3 linked regions of the Mytilus edulis genome follow. The protein of the gene in region 2 interacts with the protein of the main gene of each other region in a pairwise test. Links are inferred from orthologs where the notes say so. Each region holds a gene or a part of one and is shown on either strand. Other genes may lie near its edges. The genes, in order: delta(3,5)-Delta(2,4)-dienoyl-CoA isomerase, mitochondrial-like; peroxisomal targeting signal 1 receptor-like; acyl-coenzyme A thioesterase 8-like.

Evidence for each region.
Region 1: the proteins of peroxisomal targeting signal 1 receptor-like (region 2) and delta(3,5)-Delta(2,4)-dienoyl-CoA isomerase, mitochondrial-like interact in a two-hybrid assay, tested with the Homo sapiens proteins (2 studies listed by BioGRID and IntAct, with this or other methods). The link is inferred for Mytilus edulis from reciprocal best matches to the Homo sapiens genes PEX5 and ECH1.
Region 3: the proteins of peroxisomal targeting signal 1 receptor-like (region 2) and acyl-coenzyme A thioesterase 8-like interact in binary tests that used the Homo sapiens proteins (3 or more experiments, as listed by UniProt). The link is inferred for Mytilus edulis from reciprocal best matches to the Homo sapiens genes PEX5 and ACOT8.

The regions. Positions count from the first base shown.
Region 1 is NC_092346.1:50,874,987-50,883,751, forward strand, and holds the start of delta(3,5)-Delta(2,4)-dienoyl-CoA isomerase, mitochondrial-like, read left to right. Parts: upstream 1-5,284; 5' UTR 5,285-5,397; coding exon 5,398-5,437; intron 5,438-8,561; coding exon 8,562-8,730; intron 8,731-8,765. UniProt on the Homo sapiens protein: Isomerization of 3-trans,5-cis-dienoyl-CoA to 2-trans,4-trans-dienoyl-CoA.
Region 2 is NC_092356.1:54,303,848-54,312,819, reverse strand, and holds the start of peroxisomal targeting signal 1 receptor-like, read right to left. Parts: upstream 3,607-8,972; 5' UTR 3,467-3,606; intron 992-3,466; 5' UTR 976-991; coding exon 880-975; intron 504-879; coding exon 462-503; intron 1-461. Other genes in the region: retinal rod rhodopsin-sensitive cGMP 3',5'-cyclic phosphodiesterase subunit delta-like, read left to right, coding at 3,855-3,895.
Region 3 is NC_092348.1:72,301,912-72,310,139, forward strand, and holds the start of acyl-coenzyme A thioesterase 8-like, read right to left. Parts: upstream 3,584-8,228; 5' UTR 3,553-3,583; coding exon 3,461-3,552; intron 306-3,460; coding exon 160-305; intron 1-159. UniProt on the Homo sapiens protein: Catalyzes the hydrolysis of acyl-CoAs into free fatty acids and coenzyme A (CoASH), regulating their respective intracellular levels. Displays no strong substrate specificity with respect to the carboxylic acid moiety of Acyl-CoAs.

The sequences.
Region 1 (8,765 bases), on a different chromosome or scaffold from region 2:
ACCCTCTTTTGTTAAGTTAGGTAAACATTGATTCAAACAAAATGTGTGCCAATAAGTTTGTATATAGTATCTCACAGTAAGGCTTTTGAAACAATTGTTTTTTTTAGTATTTATGAAGCTAAAACTGTCCAAACTGAACACCTCTTTGATAGATATAATTTTGCTTGTATTAAACAGGTGTTTGGTTCAACACATTGCTCAAACAATTTGCTGAATGTCCTGATCCAAGCGTTCTGGTTACCCAAATTTAAAGTATACGCAGGTTTTAGTTTAGCCAGGTTTCACAGTAGTAGATTATCTCCCTTGCCAATCCCATGATCCCCGCCGAAAAGACCCATTCTGACAATCTAGTCATAAAGTTCTGCATGCTTTTTATATGTTTGTTTTGTGGATATGTGATGCATGTATAACTGTGTTTATAGAAGTGAATATGCTTTGTTGATCACATTTTGTTTTTACAATGTATTAATTGGTTGGATGGATGTAACAACATATTTTGTATCAGATTCACATGGCAGCTTGGTTATGGTTCATGAATCAATTTTGCTTTTATATATTATCAGCTGATAAGAGAAGAAATACTGTTTTCTATAACAGGATTAAACCCTTTTCCATTATACTTGTTTTCAAAGGAAGACTTCCAAATTAACAAAAAAGACGTCAAACAAAATTTGTCAAGTATACGCCTATGGTGTAACATCTCATAAAAAATTGAAAAAGTTTTGTAATATATTCATTTTATATGGACACATACAGTGATAATAATTGGATGGTTCCTTTGTTGATAGCAACTCAATGTTTAGAAATCGGAATGACTGTTAACATTTTCTTGTCCTTAAACTACACTACAATTAATGGGGAGATAACTCTTTAAATCAGAAATGTGTTTGAAAAAGTCTGATTCATTATTGGAATATAATTTATTATCACTTGAAACAGAACTGAAATAATCTGATCATAAAGAAGCTTAGAACATATATATATAAGTGTGAAAATGACTAACACAAACAACTGATTTTAAGAGTTATGTCTCCCCTAAGTTGACCTCCATAAGTCATGCATGAGTCTGTTGAAGTAAATTCGGTTATGAATGATCTATTTAGTGCTCTGTTCTATAATTGTTTCAATATGTTTTAAAATGTTTATTAAGTATACTATGTATACTGGTTTTAACATTTTTCTAGGATTCGAGGTAACACTTTCTTTTGTGATATCAGTTTGGTATGGGTATCAATATTTGACACCAAGTATGCTCTTTTTTGTTATTTAAGATTGAGAAATAGAAATTACATATGTTTGCTTACTACCTCATAATTTTTGCTCCTGTTAATTCAAAAACTATTGTGATATTTTTATAATAATGTAAAATGCAACAGGATGAGTAAATAAAGTAACAAAAACAAAAAAAATTAATAAAACTAACAAAGAACTGTAAAATGTATATGGTCACAATTTTATTAAAGGTTTAAATTCAAAATAAAAATTGCTCACATTAAGTTCTGAATTAACAGTAATTGTTGTGATTAGTTGTCAGTTATTATAATTATGTTAATATCCGAGCCGATAATGTTCCAGTTTCATTAACAGATTTTTATAGCTTAGAACTGGTATATATACATGTATATGTATATCCCTAAATATAGTTAACAATTAAAAGATTGAATAGGGATGGAATATGCAGTAAGTATACTGTATACCTACTTATGTTTGCAGATATTTTTTTTCTCATTTAGCACTCTAAGTGGATTTCGCAGCGACATATTTTCTCAAATTTGTAACTTCTGTGTGGTATATAATACAGACATTGCAATATGATGGCACTTTAAAGTTAAATAATAAATCAAAGAAAATATGAAGTCTAAAACAGCAGGGAAAAAAAGATCAGATAATTGAGGGAGGGGTAAAAAATGAGACAGTACCAGTATCAAATCTTCACTTCATTGTACAATGTATGTAAAAGAAATGGCTCGACAATCTAAAAAAATATTGAAAGATAAATATTTTTTAAATTAAAACCTTCAAAAGTATGACTTTTTTTTTAAGTTGGGCTTTTTGAGAAGAGCACTCTTTAAATGGACCATTTTACTTATTAGATTAGATTGGCCCACTGTGTTGTTTTGTGATTTTTTTTCAAAAAGGACTTTAAAAAAAATGGAAGCAGCACTTTATACTTATTATGCACCCAAAGTGCTTTTCTAGAATAACATAAGAATGCCTTTCAAAGGGACCAAAATACCCAAAAATTAAATACACAAACAGAAATATTTTAGATTTTATTGAACTGGAAATATGTTTGACTGGCAAAATATGTGTGGCTTTTTGTAACTGTTGGTGTACAATATTGTTGGTATGTTAGTGCAAGAACTTATTTACACACATGAATGTTTTGTAATTTTGTTTTCTGTATTTTTTGTATGAATTTTGTTTTATTTAGATTTATAATACACAATTACAGTGACAAAAAACAATGGCATGATATTATTGTAGCAAAGATATTAATTGTTTGGTTAATTAAAATCATGTATTAAAAATGAAAACATACCATACTTTGAAAATAGTTTAATTTTATGTCAAACATTTTTGATAGTTTCAATAGTATCATTGGTTTATTGCGTCAAGAGTAAGTGGTTCTATATACAAAAATGATACAGTCAAGATCAGGGAAAAATTGTAATCATGTGTTAATTTTCTGGGCTTTATTACTGAATCACACAAATAGAAAAAAAATGGATACCAACAATGATACTACTTTATTGTTTATTTACATTTTTCATAGTTTCATTCATCTTTGGTGTTACATAATCAGATGTTTATTCAATGAGTTATGTTTTATATTAATAAATAAGTTCTTAAATGCTTTAAATGTTGTTTTTTTTAATGGGAGATTTACATACCAATGTTAGGTCTGGACCTGCATCTCTGAATGTAGCTGATTGAGGTTGCATGTATATTTAAGCATAACTGATCATTTCCTTTCATTAAAGGCAAGAAAACTTGGATGAGAATTTGCCTTGTAAAACTATCAATTCTAATTGGCTGCATGCGAGATGTCAAAATTGCTTACTATCTACAACTCTTCATTATCAAGCTACAGACCATATATCAAATTATTCCCTTTCAAAGAAGCCAAGAAAATTTTGACATCCATTTCTTACCTAATGTCTTCCAGATGGACAGATGGATGGAGATCTGCTTCCATCTTGGGCAACACAGGTGAAAATAAATGGAATTAGTATACATGAGGCAAAGACTTTTTAAGAAGCTATAAAGATAGCGAATTTTAAAAATAAGAAATGTTTAGAATAATATTTAAGAGCAGACTAGCAAAGATGATAGTATATTTTGTAGGTCTCTTTATACAAACTGTTAGTTGACAGACATAAATTAACGTGTGTGATACTGGGCAGGTATGGATGAATGATTGATTTCAAGAGAGCAATCTTGCAACTTTGTTCAATATAATGTTGATATGATATGAAAATAATATAATAGATCAACATACTGAGAAAAATTTGAACAGCAGCGTCATAAGTAACAGTCCACAGATAGAAAGGTTGTCCTACCTGGACAGATTATTTTGATTCTTAGCTGACCAGTCTTTACCGTTACTAATGCATAATACAATCTAAGAAGGAAAGGAAAAATATCAATCTAAGGTTCTTGCTTTGATTCAGCCAGATATCAAGTTTAGGAACTCCTGCATTTAATGGCATACAAACTACCACAAGACCTCCAAGGCATTTCACAATGGTGATAATGCTTATTTTTACCAAATTTTGAACTAAAGACTATGTGAGCTTTTGCCATCACTTGCTCTCATTCATTGTCCTATCATCGTAAACTTTTAAAAAATCTTCTCCATCTGAATCTACTGAGCATGGTGTTACCAAAATTAACCTGAATGTTCCTTAGAGTATCTATTATGAAATGTTATCCTGGGATTTTATCCATAAAAAAATTTGGCTCCTTTTACTTGAAAATATTGTTTGATTGATGTTTGCTTAACGTCCATTGGCAAACATTTCATACATAGTCAAGACATTTACAACACAAAAATTGTTCCTTTGCTTTTTGTGTGTTTTTTTGCATTGCATGTATACTTTGTTTTTTTGTAAATATTGCATAAAATGTGATCAAAACCCTATAGTACGGACTTGATATTTAAATCTTCCAAAGTTCATCACTTCCTTTTATAGTTCTAACAAAATAGACTGTGAAGCAATCATTCTTTCAATCTTATCAAGTCAATGTCGAGTAAATTGTTGATTATATGAGGAATCACCGAGTCACCACTTGAGGTGGCACCCCTCTACGGCAGTCAGTGGGACCCCCCATATGAAAATTTCAGGATCGCCACTAAAAAACTAATTATGATATAGTAGTGTTCTTTTTAAATACATACGGGTATATAATGCAAATATGATCAGCAAGTAAGTCAACATGTATGCATAATTACAGCTCTTTTCTTAATGCTAGCGAAAAAAGGTCTGTTTGTCTTGCTTGCCATGTTTGTATCAATGTTTGCTTATTTAGCAATGTAATTAAGATTGACATCTTAAAACAACATAAAAAGGCAGCTTTAAATTTGTTAACATTATATTTAAATTTGATTGGACATTATCAAATAATCAAATTTACCTATCCACAGGTTTAGCTCCACTACTTATATTGTTTGCAGATGTCAAACTTAATTGCAATGCTTGAGCAAATATTTATACAAACAAAGCAAGTAAGTTTACCAAACCTTTGGTTTGCTAGCATTATGAAAAAAGCTGTAATAAACTCTTTTTCAACGTCATTGAATTTTTGAAGAAAAAAAATCAGAATGAATTAATAAAATAGGACAGGTGAAAAATAAAAAGACAGGACTGAAAAAAGTGAAAAATAAAAAGGCAGGACAACATTTTTCATCTTAGCCCCTACCCCCATAAAAATAAAATGGTAGCTCCCTAATTTATTTAGTTTTTTATCAAGAAAAAACAATAATAGATAGTGATAAAATGTAAAGATTATAAAGCACAATTATACCTACAAATAACTCAAATTGCTGAATTTTTTATGAGTTATTTCCCCTGATTGGTGATTTTTATCTGTTTTTAGCTATTTTGACTTTCTCTATTGGCCTCTTTTGTCAATTTTCATTAAATAAAAAAAATTCTTATCATGAAAATTTTAATAGATAGACAGATACTTTAATAAGCATAAAATATTGACCATAACGTTGTAGAATAAAATCCGGAAATTTTACGGTTCACGTACGAGTATGAAGAGAAGTTTATATTTTGACTGGTTTACCGTATTCATTCATAACGAATTTGGTTTAGGAAATTATTACAGGAACAGATTCAACTGCAAAAGAAACTGACAGCAAACTTGGACTTTACCCCTTTTATCTAAATGCATGGAATAAGGAATATAACGAGAAAAATACTGAATTGTACGTAGAAAAATACATTCGGATAAAGTAGGGAGAAAAAGATTAGACTTTAACAATGTAAATCATGGGCAAAAGATATTTACAGGTTCTGGCAACTTCTGCAAAATTATCTTGACTTCAGAAGTTCAGTGATCATTTTTCTGTTTAAGGTTCTTTATAACAAATGGACACAAAATGGCTATATTTACAACTCAATAAATACTATGAGTACAGACTAACCTGTGCCGTTTGAAAAGTTTTAAGGCCTGCAGGCATTCACCTAGTCAAAATAATTATGACGTCTTGAAAGGCAAATTTTTGCTTTGACACCTTCCTGTCGATGTAAGGTGTCAAAGAAAAAAAAGTAATAGACTTTCAAGACGTCATAATTATTTGAACTAGCATTCACCATGTTCACTAGATACAAATGAAATGCATTTACAAAATGTACTTAAGTGTTTCAACTTTCAGAAAGATGAAATCTTTTTGGATTTTGATTGGCCTTTTTTTGTCATTCCTGCAGAAGGTGTAAAAAGAATCCGGGTCACTTTTCCTTTGGTTAAAAATAAACAAAGTTTGGTAAATGTAACTCTTTGAGATGCTCCATCCCAAGTAGCTGCAGAATTGTAGCTCTTAGTTATTTTTTGACTTGGACTTAACTTTCAAAATATTAATATTTCCTTTTATAATATTAGTACCAAATATCCAATAAATCAAATTACACAGAGAAGAATTAGTGTCTTTCAAAACATTTTTTTTTCAAGGAACAGAAATTCATAGATCTCCAAAACAATCGATCATTAGAGAGATTTAAAAAAAAAATGGAAGGTTCATGTATCAAACTGGTATGTTTAACATGTTTAAAGTTGACACTAATAAACTTATATGTTATTGTAAGTTTTGAACCCCAGATCAGAGAAAGCTCTACTTTTACTAGTGTTTATAACTCCATCAACATACCAGAAAATGACAATATTTAAAGGTATTGGGTCGTTCCGGTCCCAAACCGATCCGGCCCCAAGTCAATCTGGCCCAAAGTCGATCCGGCCCACTCTGATCCGGCCCCATAATAAAATATGAATAAACTATATTCACTTTATGGGGGAACTTGTGACAAATTTGAACAGTATATATAAACGAAATCATTAGTCTATAATTGGTTTGTTTATTCAACAATTGTCTGGTGATTGTGAACTATGGTAATGCCACTTGTAATCACTTAGTTCAATCAAATCCTGATTAATTAAAGTTACGTAATCAACAAGGTCTTTATAATTCAATCTTTTGTTTGGTGTATATAATAATAATTAATTGTATTTTTATTTCGGGTAACATCAGAGGCTTCTATCATGTCTATAACACTTTTTTTTTGTAACATCATATAGCCAATATATTTTTTAAGTTTGTATGTATCAGCTTGGGGATCCGCTTGTACCATTGTGTATGTAACTATTTGTTATTACTCAAGACGAAAGACTTGTTAGGATCACAGTCAATTGAAAGAAATTGCTAATTATTGCTGATTAATGTTGATGTCTGAATTCTTTTTTATATATACGTTTTAATATAATTATACCCAATAATCTTGAAAAAAATCTTGTACACCTTTTATATTATAATAACAAGAGTGCACACGCTGAAATGTCTCGCCTTCTATACTAATCATTGATATTATGTTGATAGTCTTAAGTATAAATCTAAGCTTTATTACAACTGTCACATAAACTTTACATTAACCAAGATAACTAAACAAAGACCAATGAACCTTGAAAAAGAGGTCCAGGTCAGATGAACCATGCCAGGCAGACAGGTACAGCTAACAATGCTTCTATACAACATATATAGTTGACACATTACTTATAGTTTAAAAAAATAGACCAAAACACAAAAACTTTACACTGTGCAATGAACCGTGAAAATGAGGTCACGGTTAAATAAAACCTGCTTGACTGACATAAAGATCATAAAATATTTCCATACACCAAATATAGTTGACCTATGGCATATAGCATTAGATAAAAAGACCAAAACTCAAAAACTTAACTTTGACCACTGAACCATGAAAATGAGGTCAAGGTCACATGACATCTGCCCGCTAGACATGTACACTTAACAATCATTCCATACAACAAATATAGTAGACCTATTGCATATGGTATGAGAAAAACAGACCAAAACACAAAAATTTAACTATAACCACTGAACCATGAAAATGAGGTCAAGGTCAGATGACACCTGCCAGTTGGACATGTACACCTTACAGTCCTTCCATACACCGAATATACTAGCCCTATTGCTTATAGTATCTGAGATATGGACTTGACCACCAAAACTTAACCTTGTTCACTGATCCATGAAATGAGGTCGAGGTCAAGTGAAAACTGTCTGACGGGCATGAGGACCTTGCAAGGTACGCACACATCAAATATAGTTATCCTATTACTTATAATAAGAGAGAATTCAACATTACAAAAAATTTGAACTTTTTTTTCAAGTGGTCACTGAACCATGAAAATGAGGTCAAGGACATTGGACATGTGACTGACGGAAACTTCGTAACATGAAGCATCTATATACAAAGTATGAAGCATCCAGGTCTTCCAACTTCTAAAATATAAAGCTTTTAAGAAGTGAGCTAACGCCGCCGCCGCCGCCGGATCACTATCCCTATGTCGAGCTTTCTGCAACAAAAGTTGCAGGCTCGACAAAAATCATAAACATTTATCAATTACAATTAATATATATCTTTATTTTTATTTCTAATCCTTATAAATATTTTTTTGGGGGGGGCCCAATTGACTTTACATATGGGCTGGATCTACGTGGGGCCGGATTGACCCGAAAGCTATTTAAATAAACTTTATCCTGAACACAGTTACAAATGTTAATTGATACAATTTAAAAGACAAAGTGTATACTATAAAAATATAAATTTGTACTTAATGTAAATTGCATATAGACTAGAATCAAATGGCACTAGCCACTTCAAAAGTTGTGATTTCCAGAATACATGATAAACATAATCAATTGGTATTTTGAATAATTAATTGCTTGCATTTTAAGTTTGACATTTCATTTAATATGTGCACATGGATCTAACATATACCAGTATGTAGTACACACGTTTTGAATTTTGTTTTGACAGATTCTCTTGATAGAAATGCATCACTGACCTGTCTTGCTGTAAGAAAGATGTCTGGTGAAACTAGTTATGATTTTGAAACATTAAAGGTTTCTTCTCCAAGAGAGGATGTTGCTCATGTCGAACTTAACAGACCAGACAGGCTTAATGCTATGAATATTGCATTTTGGAGGTAATTATATAATTAAGTCTATGCATGCATATGAT
Region 2 (8,972 bases):
AACCTCATTTCTTATTCGAAGAAAGCATATATATATAGAATGGAATAAATGTATGAAGTATGATTACTTATTTTTAATTCATCTAAGATGTCTTAACACAATCTATGGTAATAAGATATATATCTAAATCTCAAAAACGTAACCAAATCAGTGTTGTCTTTTTCAATATTCATTGAAGACCTATTGGTGACCTTCTGCTGTTGTCTTTTCTACAGTCGGGTTGTTGTCTCTTTGGCACATTCCCCATTTCCATTCTCAATTTTATTCCTTATATCATGTATACAGTTTGATTTGTTGCTAAGTTGATAAAACTTTTGTTCATTTGGTCTCTTGTGGATAGTTGTCTATTACCAAATCCTCCTACATATATATTGACATTTGTTAAAAGTAAAATCACAAAGATACTGAACTTTGAGGAAAACCAATTCAGTATTAAAAGACTTTATTCTAGATAATACTACCATTTGCTGTGGGTGCTGGACTCTTCCATGACTGAAGTTTTCCTGTAAGTAAATTTTTTTTTTCTAAATATTTTACAAAGTAGAAATAACTAAAAAGCATGATAGTCTGAGATTACTCTGACCTCCAAGGGCTGTTTTGTCAGACAATTACAGCATGTACAGACAATCATGACAAAGACAGATGCAAAATGTTCATCGTTACTACATAGACCTTTTAGTATGTTCGAATTAAAGAACTTATTTAAATACATATTTAGAAACCATCACTTCAACTGTTAACTAACATTTTTTCAGTTTTAATTATTTAGTTATTTGCTATACAAGAACATTGTAATAACTTAAATAAGAAATATGTTGCAATACAATACTTTTAAGATCAGTCTTCAGCTGATATATATATATATGCAAGTACATATACCTGTCGTAATCCTCTATCCTGTGTGAAATGTGACGTCAATTTCATTAGTGAATTAGAGCCTCCACATTCCCCCTCCACCAAATTTCTCATAGCCATTTTGTAGGTTAAAAATCTGAAAAGTATTAATTAAAATTAATTTTACTAGCATAGTCGTGATATTTAAAATCAAATACACATGGCAAAAGTCTATCTAAAATTACAATAGAATATTAGAAATATCACCATGCCATCCCGTTATTGAACATGTTGAAGCCTCAATTGCTTTCAGCAGGGTTCTTCCTAAGGCGAGTCCATGAGTCCTGAACTCATCAAAATCTGTCTGGACTCACCATTTTTAAAACTGGTGAGTCCACAGAAGCATCAAGATTGAAATATTTTGTATAAACTTAACACAGTTAAACACAAATGTCATCATTTTATAGCAAAAGTTTAAAAGTGATATGAATTCAATGTCATTTCATTGCTCTGTTAGGAAATGGAGACTAAAATATTACATTGTATTGCAATAAAATATTTTCTTCTTGCTGTTGGACTCATCATGGCTAAAAATGAAGAGCCCCTGGACTCGCCTTCAAAAATCCTTAGCGAGAACCCTGAGTGCATGAGAGTCATGTCAACAAATGGGTAATTAAGTGATGTGGGTTCTAAAATACAATCTACATTAGTTTTAAGACTCTCAATAAGTATGATGAGTATGATAAGATCCTTCTGAAATTCGCTTCCCTTTCTTATCACTTCTTAGTAAATATATATAACATGTAACATAATGTCTGTTACTAATTTGATTTTTGATATTTTTTCAAACATATGTGACATGTTTTACAAACAATGTACATTTGTATGATAATCATGATGATGCATGCTAGTCATTTGTTATAATGTTTACAAGTTTTTTCAAAATATAAAGGAAAAAAAGAAAAAAATACTTTAATCATGTTAATATACATACATTTTTGTATGTAGCATAATCATCATTATACAACTTATAATAAAACAATATCATTTCATGCATTTAACTGAATGAAATAATTCACATTAATGAAATCAAGCAACGGTTAATTTTCATCCACAATATTTATTTACTTTTTTTATGTGGTGAATTAATTAATCATGTAAATTAAAATACATAAATAATGACAACTGGGGTTTCTGTCATGTGTTATTTTGAAACTTAATGAGGTGAGCGTGTAAATTAACTCTCAAGTGGGGCAAGTTAGCAGAATTTAACTGTATCCTCGATTATTGGAAGTTCGATACCCTTACTTGAAAAAAGATAGAAAAAATCAGAACCTTGGAGCACATGTTATCCACTATGAAAATGTAAGACTGATGAATGGAAATATTCTTCACTTATTTGCAAACATTCTGATAAACTTTATTGATGAAAAGTTTCAATCAGTGGCATAGAATTTAATATCTATAGGATTATAAACACATTTTTTCTATAGGTTATTGATGTGTAGGATTGCTACGGATGATATTGACAACAAAAGTAGGCGTGTTATACACCATTGCCTTAAATGATTTTTCCCAGGTTTGCTCATTATTTTTTTTTTGTTAGAGTTCAATGTTTCATCTCATTAATTTAACAAAGAAACTGACTGCACACAGATCTTAAGTAATTGTGCAAGGCCTTCAAAGATTGCTCCTTGGGGCTTGTATAAATAAGCAGTGTTTGAGGATAACAGACAAATGGGATTTTCATTGTCCATGAAATTACACTTAAATGATAAGTAAAGACATCTGCAAAGGGCAGATAATTTAAAATTCTATTAGAGCAAAGAAATCATAAGAATTCAATAAAAGAAGATAGGATGACTTTTTTACATCTACAAGTAAAAAAAACTAAATGTCTAAGGGACAAAACTCAGGCAATATCTTTTTTTACCAAAATAAGTAAAAAAAAATTCACTTGTATAAGTATCCAGCAAATTTACCTATATAAGAATATTAATATTACTTCTTCAAGTAATTAAAAATAACTTGTACAAGTAATACCCCTGACTGTCCTAGTCCAAATAATCATGAAGTCTTGAAAGGCTATTATATTTTTTTTCTGTGACGCATCGTCGATGTAAGGTGTCAAAGAAAAAAAATATAATAGCCTTTCAAGACGTCATAATTATTTGGACTAATAATCCCCAAGCTGTCATGATCAGAGTTAGCTGCGGAAACCGTAGCTCTTAGGTCCTTATGTTATTTTTTGACTATTTGCGGACCGTCCGCAAATAGTCAAAAAATAACATAAGGACCTAAGAGCTACAGTTCCGCAGCTAGATCAGAGTCAATGGTAGATTGGTAGTCCAAATAATTATGACATCTTGGAAGGCTATTTTAAATGTTTGCTTTGATGCCTTCCTTTGACAAAAAAAAATATAATAGACTTTCAAGATGTCATAATTATTTGGACTAAGTCAATGCTAGCTATATGCACTATCCATGTATCATGAAAATTATCTACAAGTCGTGAACAGGTGAAGAGGAGGACTTGCATAAATTTCATAAATGAAGTTACCACAACCATAGAAAAAGAAGGATTCAATACAGAAAGTACATTTATATTCGCTGAACAGCAATATATATTTACATATGGTTTCCTTCACGTTCTTAGAGTTAACTATGATTTTGAGAAACACAGGTCAGTCCATCGTCCCACATAAGCCGAACAACATCGTTCATTGAAAACAGGACGCTTTCCGGTAAGTGCGAGAAATAGGTCTAATGATACTAATTTTCAACCTGGTTACTTTCTTTACTAAATATATTCACTGAATTGGATTAAAAATTAAGAAAATTGATGCAAATTAAAGAGTTCGGTATACAATTGACCATTATAACCAACACGATCATACAAACATTCACTTGATACAGATTGTCGCGTAGGAAAATTTAACGAACTACTTCTAAATTGTTGACATTGGAGAATCGTGAAATAGAACCAGACTAGTTTTGATAAAACACAATTATAAATCAATATGCCATCAAAAGCAGAGGACATAATGAAAGGATTCAAACTGTATCCTTAATCAAGATAACTGTACATATATTCACATCAATTATGTTTACAAATTTCCAAATCTATCATCGGCGTCTAGAGACATCCTGATTTGTGACATTTACATTAAATTATGTGACATGCAAATTTAAATTCCTTTGCTCGACCTTTTCTACATGTATATATCTACAGCTTTACTTTATGACATCATGTCATCCCTTTGTTCTCCAGATTCTGTTGTCACAGTCAGACACAGTTTATATGTGTTAAAACTTGGGACACTGTTGAAGACCGTGTAAATTATAATATTATACACTCTATTACTATTTAGAAATAGGTGCTGCTTGACTTGAGCATCTGTGTCTCTTGGACTATTGGCTTCATACAATAATCTTGCCCAACTGTAAGGTCTCTGCCCCGAGTCCTGAATCTTTCAAGGCTCAGCTCCGTCAGTAATTAAATTGACATGTTTTTATTTGCACTTGTATATAAAATTCACCTAGTTTTTGTTTTTGTTAAATTAAAATTTTTTCATACATGCGCGCACTCCATAAATGTGGCAGAATAGTCAACCAGTTGACGGTGGCCGCTTACTGGAAGAAGAAGAAGAAGATCACATTTTGGGAATGGTCAACCTTTGTGTAGTATTGAATGTTTAGTAAGAAGTGTCATTTAACATCTTCAAAATGCATTGCCCCACACCTAACCGCCCCACTTTTTCACCAACTCGACCGACTTTTTAAAAAGTTGTCCCAAACTGGTTTACCAACTGGACCCACTTTTAAAAAAATAGCCCCACTTACAGTCAGAGCTCTGACATAAACAAGTCAGAATAAAATGACTTCTTCAAGTCAGAAAATGTTTTGACATTCTGACCTGTACGGGTCAATTTTTGTTTTGCGTAGTTTTCCATCGAGTCCGTCAAACCAGAAGATATTTTGAATTTGCCGCCGATCTAAGACACATACGATCACGTGGTTTTTTGCGAGAGATCACGTGTTTGAGAGTTGTTGTTTTGGGAGTTTCTCGAACGAGAAGTTATTGAAAATATAGTGATTATTTACGTTTTTTTATTGAAAATCTAGGTCAATGTGGTCATTTTCAGAAGGTAATACATATTACCTCCGTATTTTCATGGCCATTTTAATATTTTTTGCGTGTGAAGAAGGTCTTTGCAAGTGATTTTGTTGCTGTTTCATGAAGGCGCGTGACCTGTAAATACGGACGCGTAGCCTTTGAGATGACCTGGTGTCTGACAATTCTGACTTGTTCAGGTCAGAAAATGTTGTTATGATAATGAACTGTTATTTTCGGGAGACAACTCGTGTTGTCTTAAACAGTATTAACATTAATAACCAGTCAGTGCAATTTTAAAAGTAAAATTATTGCTTCGAGCTGAACATCATCACGTGATTTTTCTATTTTTAAACTCAATCATGAATTGACTTTTTAACCTTTCCGAGTTTGCGGCTTATAAATATATTTGTTTTTTCGTTTCTCCCAATGAGAAAAACGATCTTTTGAATATTGATATTAATGAAAATGAAATGAAATCGGAATAATTTTAATAAAGGAAAAGGGAAGGGAGGGTTTAACTAAAAGAACCGAAATATTTTTTTATTTTTATTTTAAAAATGATTTTAACTTGAGAACATTATAAAGAGATTCACAAAACGGGTTTTTCAATTATGAACATGGAATATGATCTTAAAAACAAATCAAATGAAATGTAGGGTAAGGCTCCAGTGATCACCCTACCCCTGTCATTTGACAATGTTGAACAGTCGAGATCCCTGCCCCCTTAACTCAATTTTTTCTCTCTGTAAAGTATAATGAAATATACCAAGCTAGTCTCTATGGGTCGCCCCACCCCTTGTCATTTGAGAATGATCTTATATCTTGAAAATTGTCGAGATCCCCACCTGTAAACAGCCATATATATTCCTTTTTATAATGTCAAATTGATTTGAATGAAATATACCGGGCTAGTCTCTGGGTTTACCCCCTCCCCTGCCATTTGCGAATGTTCTTATATTTTGTAAACGGTCGAGATCCCCACCCCTAAACTATATATATTCTTGTATGGGAAAATAAAACAAACCCAATGTAATATAGGGGAAGTCCCTTGGGGGGGGGGGGGTTGCCCCTACAGTGTGAAAACATGTAAATGGTCAAGATCCCCACCCCTGAACCATATATATTAGTGTAAGGGACAACAAGACAAATCAAATGAAATAAAGATAAAGTCCCTTGGGGTCACCCCACCCCCTCATGTTTGAAAACATGTAAACGGTTGAGATCCCCACCCCTTAAGCCTATATATTATTATATGGGACAATACAACAAATCAAATGAAATAAAGGGAAAGTCCATGGGGGTCATCCCCATCCCCCTTTTTGAAATGGTCTGGATCACCACCCCTAAACCATATAATATTCCTGTTCGTCATTTCAAGAAGATTTGAATGACATACATGTACAGGGTCAATCCCTAATTATATGGCATATATGTTTTCCTATGAAGTTACACATCTATAATTCTTACCCCAGATGCTTAGCCACATAAAGCATTAACCTTTTATTTGAAATATAGATAGTCTTTGTTTCTACAGAAGTGAGAAGAACATTGGAAGTCAGTATGTTCTGACTTATAAAAGTCTGAATGTTCTGACTTATGAAAGTCAGAATGTTCTGACTTATGAAAGTCTGAATGTTCTGACTTATGAAAGTCTGAATGTTCTGACTTTAATTTAATAAGGCCAGAAAGACTCAGAATAATCTGAAGATAATGACTTGTTTTTAATGTTTAGAGTATTTAAGAATATGAATGCTCTTGTCATGCTAGTACCATAAGAAACCCTGACAAGATTTTGTTCCCAAAAAAATATATATTAAGAATAACAAGTGTACAATTGAACATAAATTACAAAGTTATAAATGTTGCTAAAAATTCTATTTAAAAAACACCCAATAGATAGTTGTAGTGAAAATATTATGTATTTATATGTACCACTTCTTGAAGGACAACAAAGTCACCAAACTTAGTCTGATTTTCATAGTATTTTCTCCTCAACATTTTTTTAACAGAACATGATTTGACCTGTTTAAGTCAGTTTACAGAAAAAGAATCCGATCAAACTAGGTTTCTTCATCTTAGCCCCCCCCCCCTTTTTTTTCTCGTTATCTGAATCTGCTATTGTTGGGATAATTAATTTTTTTTAAGAAACAATTCAGTCAAATGGTTTTTAGAATAATGATTTTTTACAACCAAAAGTTCTATATGTTAACTTTACAGAAAAAAAAGTCATGAAAATACAGAAATAAAATAAATTTTTAAGATATAAATTTGATGAAATTTGTTAAAAAAAATACATTTGAATATAAAATATACCAAATACATTTTTTTTTATAGTCCTCAATATTGTGACTTGAGGGGACCATATTTCATCAGTCTTTTATCTGGTTTGTCATACATTTTAAAATCAATATGAAAATCCTAGACTTAAAAGTCGACATAAGTTTAGTTTTGACTGACTCTCTGAAGTCAGAACATGATTTGACCTGTTTAAGAAGTCAGTTTACAGAGAAAATTAAATCCAATCAAAACTAGGTCTTCTTCTTCTAAGCCCCCCCCCCCCCTTTTTCCCTTTTATCTGAATCTGCTACTGTTGAGTTAATTAATTGATAAGTTTATTAGAAACAATTCAGTCAAATGGTATGAAATAATATATTTTACAACCAAAAGTTCCATGTGTTAACTTAACAGAAAAGAAAGGTCATGAAAATACAGAAATATAATAAAATTTAAAGATGATTTGATGAAATTTGTAAACAAAATATATTTGAATATAAAATATTAGTTCTCATTATTGTGACTTTATTATTGGGTGTCTTTTATCTGATTTTCCCATACGTTCTTAAATGCATATATTTATGACAATGCCGGACTTAACAGTTGTAATAATAAGTTAAAGTGAAGTTTTTGACTGACTCTTTGAAGTCAGAACATAATTTGACCAGTTTAAAACAAAATACATTTAAATATTGAATAATCAATATGCAAAATAAACTTTTTTATAGTCCTCATTAATTATTGCGCTGTATGGGGACCTTATTTCCACTGTCTTTTATTTGGCTTTTCCGTACATTTTTAAATCAATACGAAGAAACTAGACTTAAAAGTTGACATAAGTTTAGATGGGACTGACTTTTTGAAGTCAGAACACTATTTGACCTGTTAAAGTCAGTTGACAGGAAAAAATGTCCAATCAAAGTTAGGTTTTCTTCCTCTAATCCCCCTCCCCACTAAATATCAATCTGCTACTGTTGAGTTAATTAATTACTGATTTTTTTTTAGAAACAATTCAGTCAAATGGTTATTAAAATATAATTTTTTTTTGCAACCACAATTAAGTTCCATGTGTTAACTTAACAGAAAAGAAAAGTCATGAAAATACAGAAATAATACAATATTTTTTTTTTTTTTTTAGATAATTTGATGAAAATCTTTAAAAAACAAAATGCATTTGAATATTGAATATATCAAATAAAAATGTTCCATACATTTTAAATCAATATGAAAATCCTGGACTTAAAAGTTGAAATAAGTTTAGTTTTGACAGACTCTTTGAAGTCAGAACATGATTTGACCTGTTAAAGTCAGTTTACAGAAAAAAAAATCCAATCAAACTATGTTTCTTCATCTTAGCCCCCCCCCCCCTTTTCCCTTATTTGAATCTGCTACTGTTGAGTTAAAAAAAATTAAGAAACAATTCAGTCAAATGGTTTTTAGAATAATGTTTTTTACAACCAAAAGTTCTATTTGTTAACTTAACAGAAAAATAGTCATGAAAATACGGAAGTAGAATAAATTTTTAAGATATTAATTTGATGAAATTTGTTAACAAAATACATTTGAATATAAAATATACCAAATACATTTTTGTATAGTCCTCATTATTGTGACTTAAGGGGACCTTATTTCATCAGTCTTTTATCTGGTTTCCCATACATTTTAAAATCAATATGAAAATCCTAGACTTAAAAGTTGAAATAAGTTTAGTTTTGACTGACTCTTTGAAGTCAGAACATGATTTGAC
Region 3 (8,228 bases), on a different chromosome or scaffold from region 2:
ACTACCATTAACAAGTTTCTCACTTGAGGCAGACACATGAACATGATGAACATCCATTTACTCAAAGGTAAAATTGATTCAGAGTCAGAATTTCATTGACAACAGCACCAAATTGAAACGAAAATATTGGAATTTCTTTTGTCTGAGAACTAAACTTACCTCCTCTTAAAAAATAACAATGTAAGCTGTGAATATGCTGTTCTTCTTTGACAGTACGACAGGCTGCTATCAGTGCCTGACCAATTACCTGTCCTCCATAAACAAATCTTCCAGCAAGGGGGCGCCAAAGATTCACTGGTGAAGCCCTGATAATGATAATAAATTAGTCTTATGACTATAAGGGTAAAAAAACGAACATGGATTCATAATTAATCATGGGGTTTATAACATTTATAACTCAATTGTGAATTTCATTGGTAAAAGTCATCCATGAAACTTAAGCATGTTAAGTATACAAAAACTGGAAAATAAATCGCAGGAAGTATAAATAAATGACATACATTTGACATATAGATAATTATTGCAAAATAGAAAAAGAGAAGGTGCTCAAGTCTAATATTGGCCTCAATTTTTTTAATTTTCAAATTATTTAAAATGTACAATTATTTTTTAGAAATAACTTTTGATTAGTATCGACACTGGTATTGTTTGATTATTGACCTTCTTAATTCTATCATAAAAGGGTGAATTTTCTTTCGGTTTCATTCACAGGATATCCCACTGCCTATTTGTGATTACAATAAAACTTCAACTGAATTATTTCCCTTGTGGGCTTGTAAAATTAGTAAATTGTTTTAAATTAATGATTAAATAATTGTTTTTTTTATAAAATGTCAAAATGTAAAGCAAATTTATTTTACTATAATTCATTGATTATGTTGACAGATTTTGTTAAATTTGCAACTTATTGTTTAGTAATTTTATTATAATATAAGATATTGTTTCTACTCTGGGAACAGTATATCTAACAGGAAATGAATCTGATACGCTTTTCAGTATAAAATTGAAAAATCTCGGACTCCCAAGACTTCCTGAGATTTATGGATTTTGGTAGGGTTTGACTGAAAAACTATTGGAACTGCTCAATAAATAAACCACATATCTCTATAGTCGTAAAAATACAAGTTTTATCATTAAGAAGATATATTTTGTCATATAAAATTACTAAAATAAGTATGATTTATTTGATGTGAAGTGTTTTATAATAGTTTGGGAATTTGTAAATCATCACGGCAATGGCCGCCATTTTTTTATTACCTTGTTTGCATTCTGCACAGTTCTGTGATGAACTGCTTGCGATATTAACAAATTTGAAGTGACAGAATACAAGTTTAAATTACGCTAGCATCACTATAAAACTAGTTTGAATGACATTTTATTGATATTATCAGAAATTTTTAGGATAATAGTGAGTATGTTTTAAAAACTTGTCTGTTTCCGTATTGTATCTTTATTTACAATGGCACGACAATAAAATCGACTACAATCAGGTAGTGTCAAGTTCCGTTAATATATATGTTCCTGTTCTACTCAACTATTGTTCATTTAGTTTGAGATGGAAACTGTACTTTTTGGACCCCACTTAAAAAAAAATGTTGTGTTTTTTTTTCTTTCTATATTTACATTTTCTACAATGGTCCAAAAAAGGGGGATCATACATTGTAGAAAATTGTAAATATTTTTAGTGGGGTCCAAAAAAGGGGGATCCATGACCTAAATACCTGTGATTGAAGTCCGAGATTACTCTGAAGTCCAACGGCAGTTTTGCCAGACAAGCTTGGGGCCCCAGCTTGTCTGACAAAACAGCCGTTGGACGTCAGAGTTATCTCGGACTACTCATGCTACCAGGGATGGGGTAATCGTAATCTGTAATCGTAATCGATTGTAATTGATTACATTTTTTCAAGTAATCGACAGTAATCTGTAATTGAAGACATTTTCGATTACATGTAATCGTAATTTAATCGATTACAGCAAAAATTTGGATGTAATCATCGATTACTTTCCGATTACATTTCGATTACTTTTATTTAAATAAGAAAATAGATTTGAAAAAATAAAATAGATCTTAAATAAGAAATGTGTCTGTCTTTCGTTAAGTTCTGTACTACATTTTTTAAAAGTAGTAAGCTTATTTGTATTAAATTTCCTGAAAACATCATTTTCAATCAGAGTTGAAATTAAAGCTTAGAATACATAAACAGTTGATTTCTTAAATGTTATGATATATATACATGTATATAAATTAAATTAAAAATGAACACAAAATCCTTTTAACAATGAACCAATGGCAATGCATAGCAATTCTTTTTAGAAATAGATACATGTATCCCTTTGACACTATAAATATATTTTGTATATAATTTGATTGGAGAAGTTAACAACATTCTTGCCTTTACTAATGAGATGATCAAAGTCTTCTAATCAATAACAAACATACTTTGTTTTTATTTCAATTATCTTATGTCTAATAAAGAAGGAAATTTACAATATTTAGCCCCAGGTTATAAATTATACTCCAGTGGCAGTTAAATAATCTGTAATTAGGGTGGTTATCCAAACAAAAGTTTTAAAACATGCATGTCATTATAAAAATAAATTTTGATCTTAAAAATTAGCTGAACTAATTAATTATTCTACTTTTTTTTTATATTTCCTTAAACATTGTAATTAACTATGCTAAAATATTTTTTTTTAAAGAGTAAAAACAAAAAAGATAACGTGTCAGTAAGAAAACTAATTTTTTGAAAAACAATTAGTTATGAATAAGTGATTATTGCAATGCGATGACATCTTTCATATATGTTGAAAGTCAAAATTACGAGATTTTTTAAATATTTCTAATTTTCATCAAGAGATTTGATCTAAAAAGCAGCTATTAACTTATAATTTAGAAACAATGCTATAAATGATGCATTAGGTAAAGATCTTAATTTCCACTATATATACAAATGTTGAGCAATATAATTGTGTTTTACTCCTGTTATTTTTTGTTGAAATGTTGAAGTATGTAATTGACAGTAATCGAAAAGTAATGTAATTACTTTTGATAAAGTAATCGATTACATACTAAAATTTGAGTAATCGATTATTAATCGATTGCACAAAAATCCTTCATGTTATCGATTATTTTTAATCGATTACATTTGTCAGTAATCGTGCCCATCCCTGCATGCTACTGTGATTGCAACTTTACTTTTGAGAAATTTCATAACTCAATGCTTTTACAAATATATATAGAGAATTTTCTAGCGTAAAACATTTTTTAAAAGAAAATTTCTGCAACCTGGGACACATACAGATACATATAAAACATCTATATATTCCGATTTGAATACTAAAAAGGGGGACCTGTGTCACTCTTGTTGTTGCATGATTTCATGTTTAAAATAATATGTCTCTTGATCTTGATCTTTAAACAAAAATGATATATAAACAACATTAAGAAACTATTTTCTACCTGAAGATATTAGTGTCAATATCTTCCAACGTCAAATACGATCTTACGAGTTCATTTTCTAGATCGTCAGTTCCAGTTGCTGCCATTGCCATTTTCTATGGGAGGTAACTCTAATAATATTTGGCGCGAAATATAAAAGTGCAGTCATATAATATTACTGTTATACTGAATGTGAATTTGCATTGCTGTGCGGCTAGTCTCGATGTTTAACTTTTGTACATCCACCATTCATGGCCCTGTAATAAAAGTGAGGCAAGTGTTCCTGAGACAATATACCTAAAGTTAATAAATGAAACCCAATTTCAAACATTTCAAGTATATTTAAATAATATTTATAATACTTTTATTATTAAGAGATTTGGGAAGTGGTTCCTGAATAAATGTTTTTAAAATATGAATTTTATGAAGAATCTGATGCCATCTCATACTTTCGAATACAAATACAAATACAAATATTTTTATTGGCACAAACACAATTACAATAATTGGCAATGGCCCATACAACTGGTATACAAATAGTAATAATGCATAGAATAGCAATAGGCATATTTAGAACAATATCATCGAACGATATCAATATCATCAACAGTAAATGATTAAAAAAAAAAATATATATCAATTACATAGTTGGTCAAACATATTAAGTATTGAAAATAATGACTATATTAATATGTAATATTATGAACAATGATTATTAGCAATTTTATAGAGTTTGTTCTGCTTTACGCAGGTTCAAACTGTCTGAGATGAAAGAGGAAGTTAGTTTTAGGATTGTGTATGAATTATTATTTAATAAAAAGATTATATTATTTTCATGTTTTTGAAATTTTGTAGGATCAACGATTGTATTTGAAACTTTATGGTAAAATATGTCCCTCTTAGTTGAGTATTTTTCACAATGTAAAAGAAAATGTTTTTCATTTTCAATTTGACCAGAATTACATACAGAGCAGTATCTCTCATTTCTGGGAATATTTAGATGTCTCCCTCTTTCAATCATCAGTGTATGAGCGCTTATACGGATCTTACATATTGCAGCTCTGTCACTTCTGTTTTTTAATATATCAACATAGGGTGGTCTTCTGCCCATTATGTAGACACTTTTGAAAAAGTCTAACTTTTTGGATTCAAATATATTTGCATTTTGAACTTGCAAACATTGGTCATTAATTCTTTGTTTAATAGAATTTAAATTACCTTTAACATAATTAAAGTTATTGATGATATAAGACATTCCAAGTTCATTCAAAAGACTCTTGACCTTTATGAACCAAGGGTTTGAATCTACAGATTTAGTGAATATATCATATGCCAAAGAATTTTCCGAAGAAACTATATGGTTCAGGTAGTTGAATATTGAATATAATATTTTATTTTTCAAGGGAATTCTATTAAGTTCAGCTCGACATCCATCATTAGATGCCTTACAGTGAACCCCTAATATGTCTTTGATAAATTTAACATGAAGTTTTTCAAATGGATCAGAGTCTTTAAAATGTGAATCCACCCCCCAAATTTCACTACAATATGTAAGAATGGGAGTAACTAAACAATCAAACAATTTTTCAAGAAGTCTACATGGGTTGTTGAGACCTATAGTTTTCTTTATTTTATAGTATGCCTTCCTGGCTTTTTCCATTAGAGTATTCACAGCAAGGCAAAAATTGCCATTATACTTTAAAACAATACCCAAGTAACAATAATTTGTTACTGTTTCAAGATATGCATTATCATAAGTAAAATGGTTTAACAATGTCTTGCCATTAGAATTAAATATCATAATTTTTGATTTATCAGTATTAACTTGTAGTTTCCATGTTGAACAATATTCATGTAAAATATCAAGAGATTTTTGTAGACCCTCTTTGCTTTCAGATAGTAAAACAATATCATCTGCATATAAAAGAATGTTCAAAGAGGTATCCCCAATAGCAACTGGATCCGTATGTTTGTCATCAAGATTACCTACTAGATCATTTATAAAATAGTTAAAAAGAAGTGGACTCAATACGTCACCTTGTTTAACACCCCTTTCTGATAGGAATGGAGGACTCAACCCATTAGAGAATTTTATTCTACTTACTGTATCAGTATACATTGAATAAATAACATTAAACATTTTTTGGGGGATATTATGTTTTATGAGTTTAGAAAATAAACCTAGTCGCCATACAGTATCAAATGCCTTTTTTAAGTCTATGAAGGCAGCAAAAACTTTTTTCTTTTTTTGTCTATATTGATCAGTTATGGTCTTAAGAGTGAATATGTGGTCAGCTGTACGACTTTTCTCTTTAAAACCTATTTGATTTTTACTTATTAAATTTTTGATATCCATAAATTTTACTAAACGTTTATATAAAACTTTATTAAAAAGTTTACCTAGGTTGGAACTAATAGATATACCTCTATAGTTCCCTGGATCAAATTTGTCCCCTTTCTTATGCAAGAGAACAAGTAAGCTCTCATTCCATATTCTCGGAAATTGACCAGATTCGAATATGCTATTAAAGAGTTTATGAAGTGGTTTTATTAAGATGGGGATTGCATTTTTCAACATTTCATTTGAAATCATGTCGGCTGATGTGCTTTTGCCATTTTTAATTAAACGAATAGCTGTTACTATCTCTTCAATTGTTATCTCTGAACTCAAGTGAGTTAAGTCATCTGTAACATGTGATAAATTAAACTTTTCTTTTAGAGAGTCAAAATCTTTAATAATTTTAGAGTGAAAACTATTGTGATTTATGTCACAGTTATTCAATTTTTTATAAAACTGGATGAAATCTTCTTGTGGTAAAGATTCATTTTCTTTGTTATTACTTTTTTGTCTACTTAATTTATTCAAGATGTTCCAAAACATCTTTGGGTCTTTCTCACATGTATAAAGTTCTGAAAATATATCTTTTTTGTATTTATTTTCTTCATATTTACATAGACGTCTAAGTCTAGATCTGAAAGAATAAAATTTATGTCTGTATTCAGAATTATAGGGATGTTTATTAACTAACTTTGCATAATTTTTTACTGTAACGGCAAGTTCACGGCAAGATTCAGAGTACCAAGGTCGTCTTTTTGACCTATTTTGATTTTTATTTCTGACTGGGACTTTCTTTACTAGTTTAGCAGACTTCAAAGCATTTTCATATAGTATATTATTAAATGAAATTACTGCTGATTCAGAGTCTTTAAAAGTTGATTTCAAAAACTGTTCAAATTTGTTTTTACTCTCTATACTATTACTATTTAATGTGTATAGATTTATTGCTTCAGGTGTCCATATAAATTTATTTGGGATAGGATCCAACTGATATTGGGGTGTATTTTGAGGCATAATAAAACCTATTAATAAAGAACAACTTATTATACAATGATTTGACAAAGAAGTAAAGTCATGTACTTCAAAATAACCAACTATATGTAATAATTCTTTAGACACAAGCATATAATCTACAACACTACATCCATTGTATGTAATACAAGTGTGTTTACCATGTAAATCACCTATGGTTCTACCATTTAGTATTCTAAGACTTGATTCCTTACATAAATTCAGTAGATACTTTCCACTATTGTTGACAAGTTTGGTGTCAAGGTTATTCCTTGGTATATTTTGATCAGAAATATATTGTAAATCATCTTGATTTGAAGTACAAGAATTATCAAAGGCAATAAAATCTGGTTTTGTATTAGCAAGGATTTGTATAGTAAGATCTTACTATACAAATCCTTGGTATTAGTATAGGCATTGAAATCGCCTTGGACTATAATGTGCCCTAAATTAGAGTATTTAACAACATCAGCTAGTAGCTTGTCATAAATGGGTTCTAACCCGGTAGTGTTCGTGCTAGAACTTTCTGGTGACATATATACTTTATCATTTATAAAATGGTTAAAAAGACCTGCCGAGTTATTTATTTTCAACACCACAGAATACATTGTACAGTTATAAGTAAGGTTATCTGTTTTCAAATTACCACAGTTTAACATTGTCATAAATTAATAGTTATCAAAGGTACCAGCCGAGGCTTATAATTTAATACGCCAGACGCTCATTTTGTCTACATATAAGACTCACCAGACTGAGTCACTGAGATAACAAAAAGTTAGAAAGCCTAACAAGTACAAAGTTAAAGGGCATTGAGGACCCAAAATACCAATAGGTTGTGACGAATACGTATACGGTTAATTAAGGGAAAGTATAACTGGGATACGAAAATTCTAAGTATTTCGAATAATTCATACTTTTGCAAACAGTAAATTTATAAAAATGACCATATAATTGATATTCATGTCAACACCGAAGTGCTGACTTCTGGTCTGATGATACCCTCGGGGACGAAATGTTCACCACAGTGACATCGACCCAATGGTGTAAATAGTTATCAAAGGTACCATGCTTATAATTTAATTCGCCAGACGCGCGTTTCATCTACATAAGACTCATCGGTGACGCTCAGATAAAAAAAAGTTAGAAAGCCAAACAAGTACAAAGTTGAAAAGCTTTGAGGACCCAAAATACCAATAAAAAAAACCTCGGCCAAATACGTCTAAGGGAATCTATGACTGTGATAACACAATCCTTAGTTTTTCGAATAATTCATACTTTTACAAACAGTACATTTTAGGCCGTGTGGTGACCTATAGTTGTTAATTTTTGTGTCATTTTGGTGTCTTGTCTCCTGTGGATAGTTGTCTTATTGGCAATCATACCACATCTCGCTTTCATATATAACTGATATTCATGTCATCACCGAAGTGCTGACTGCAT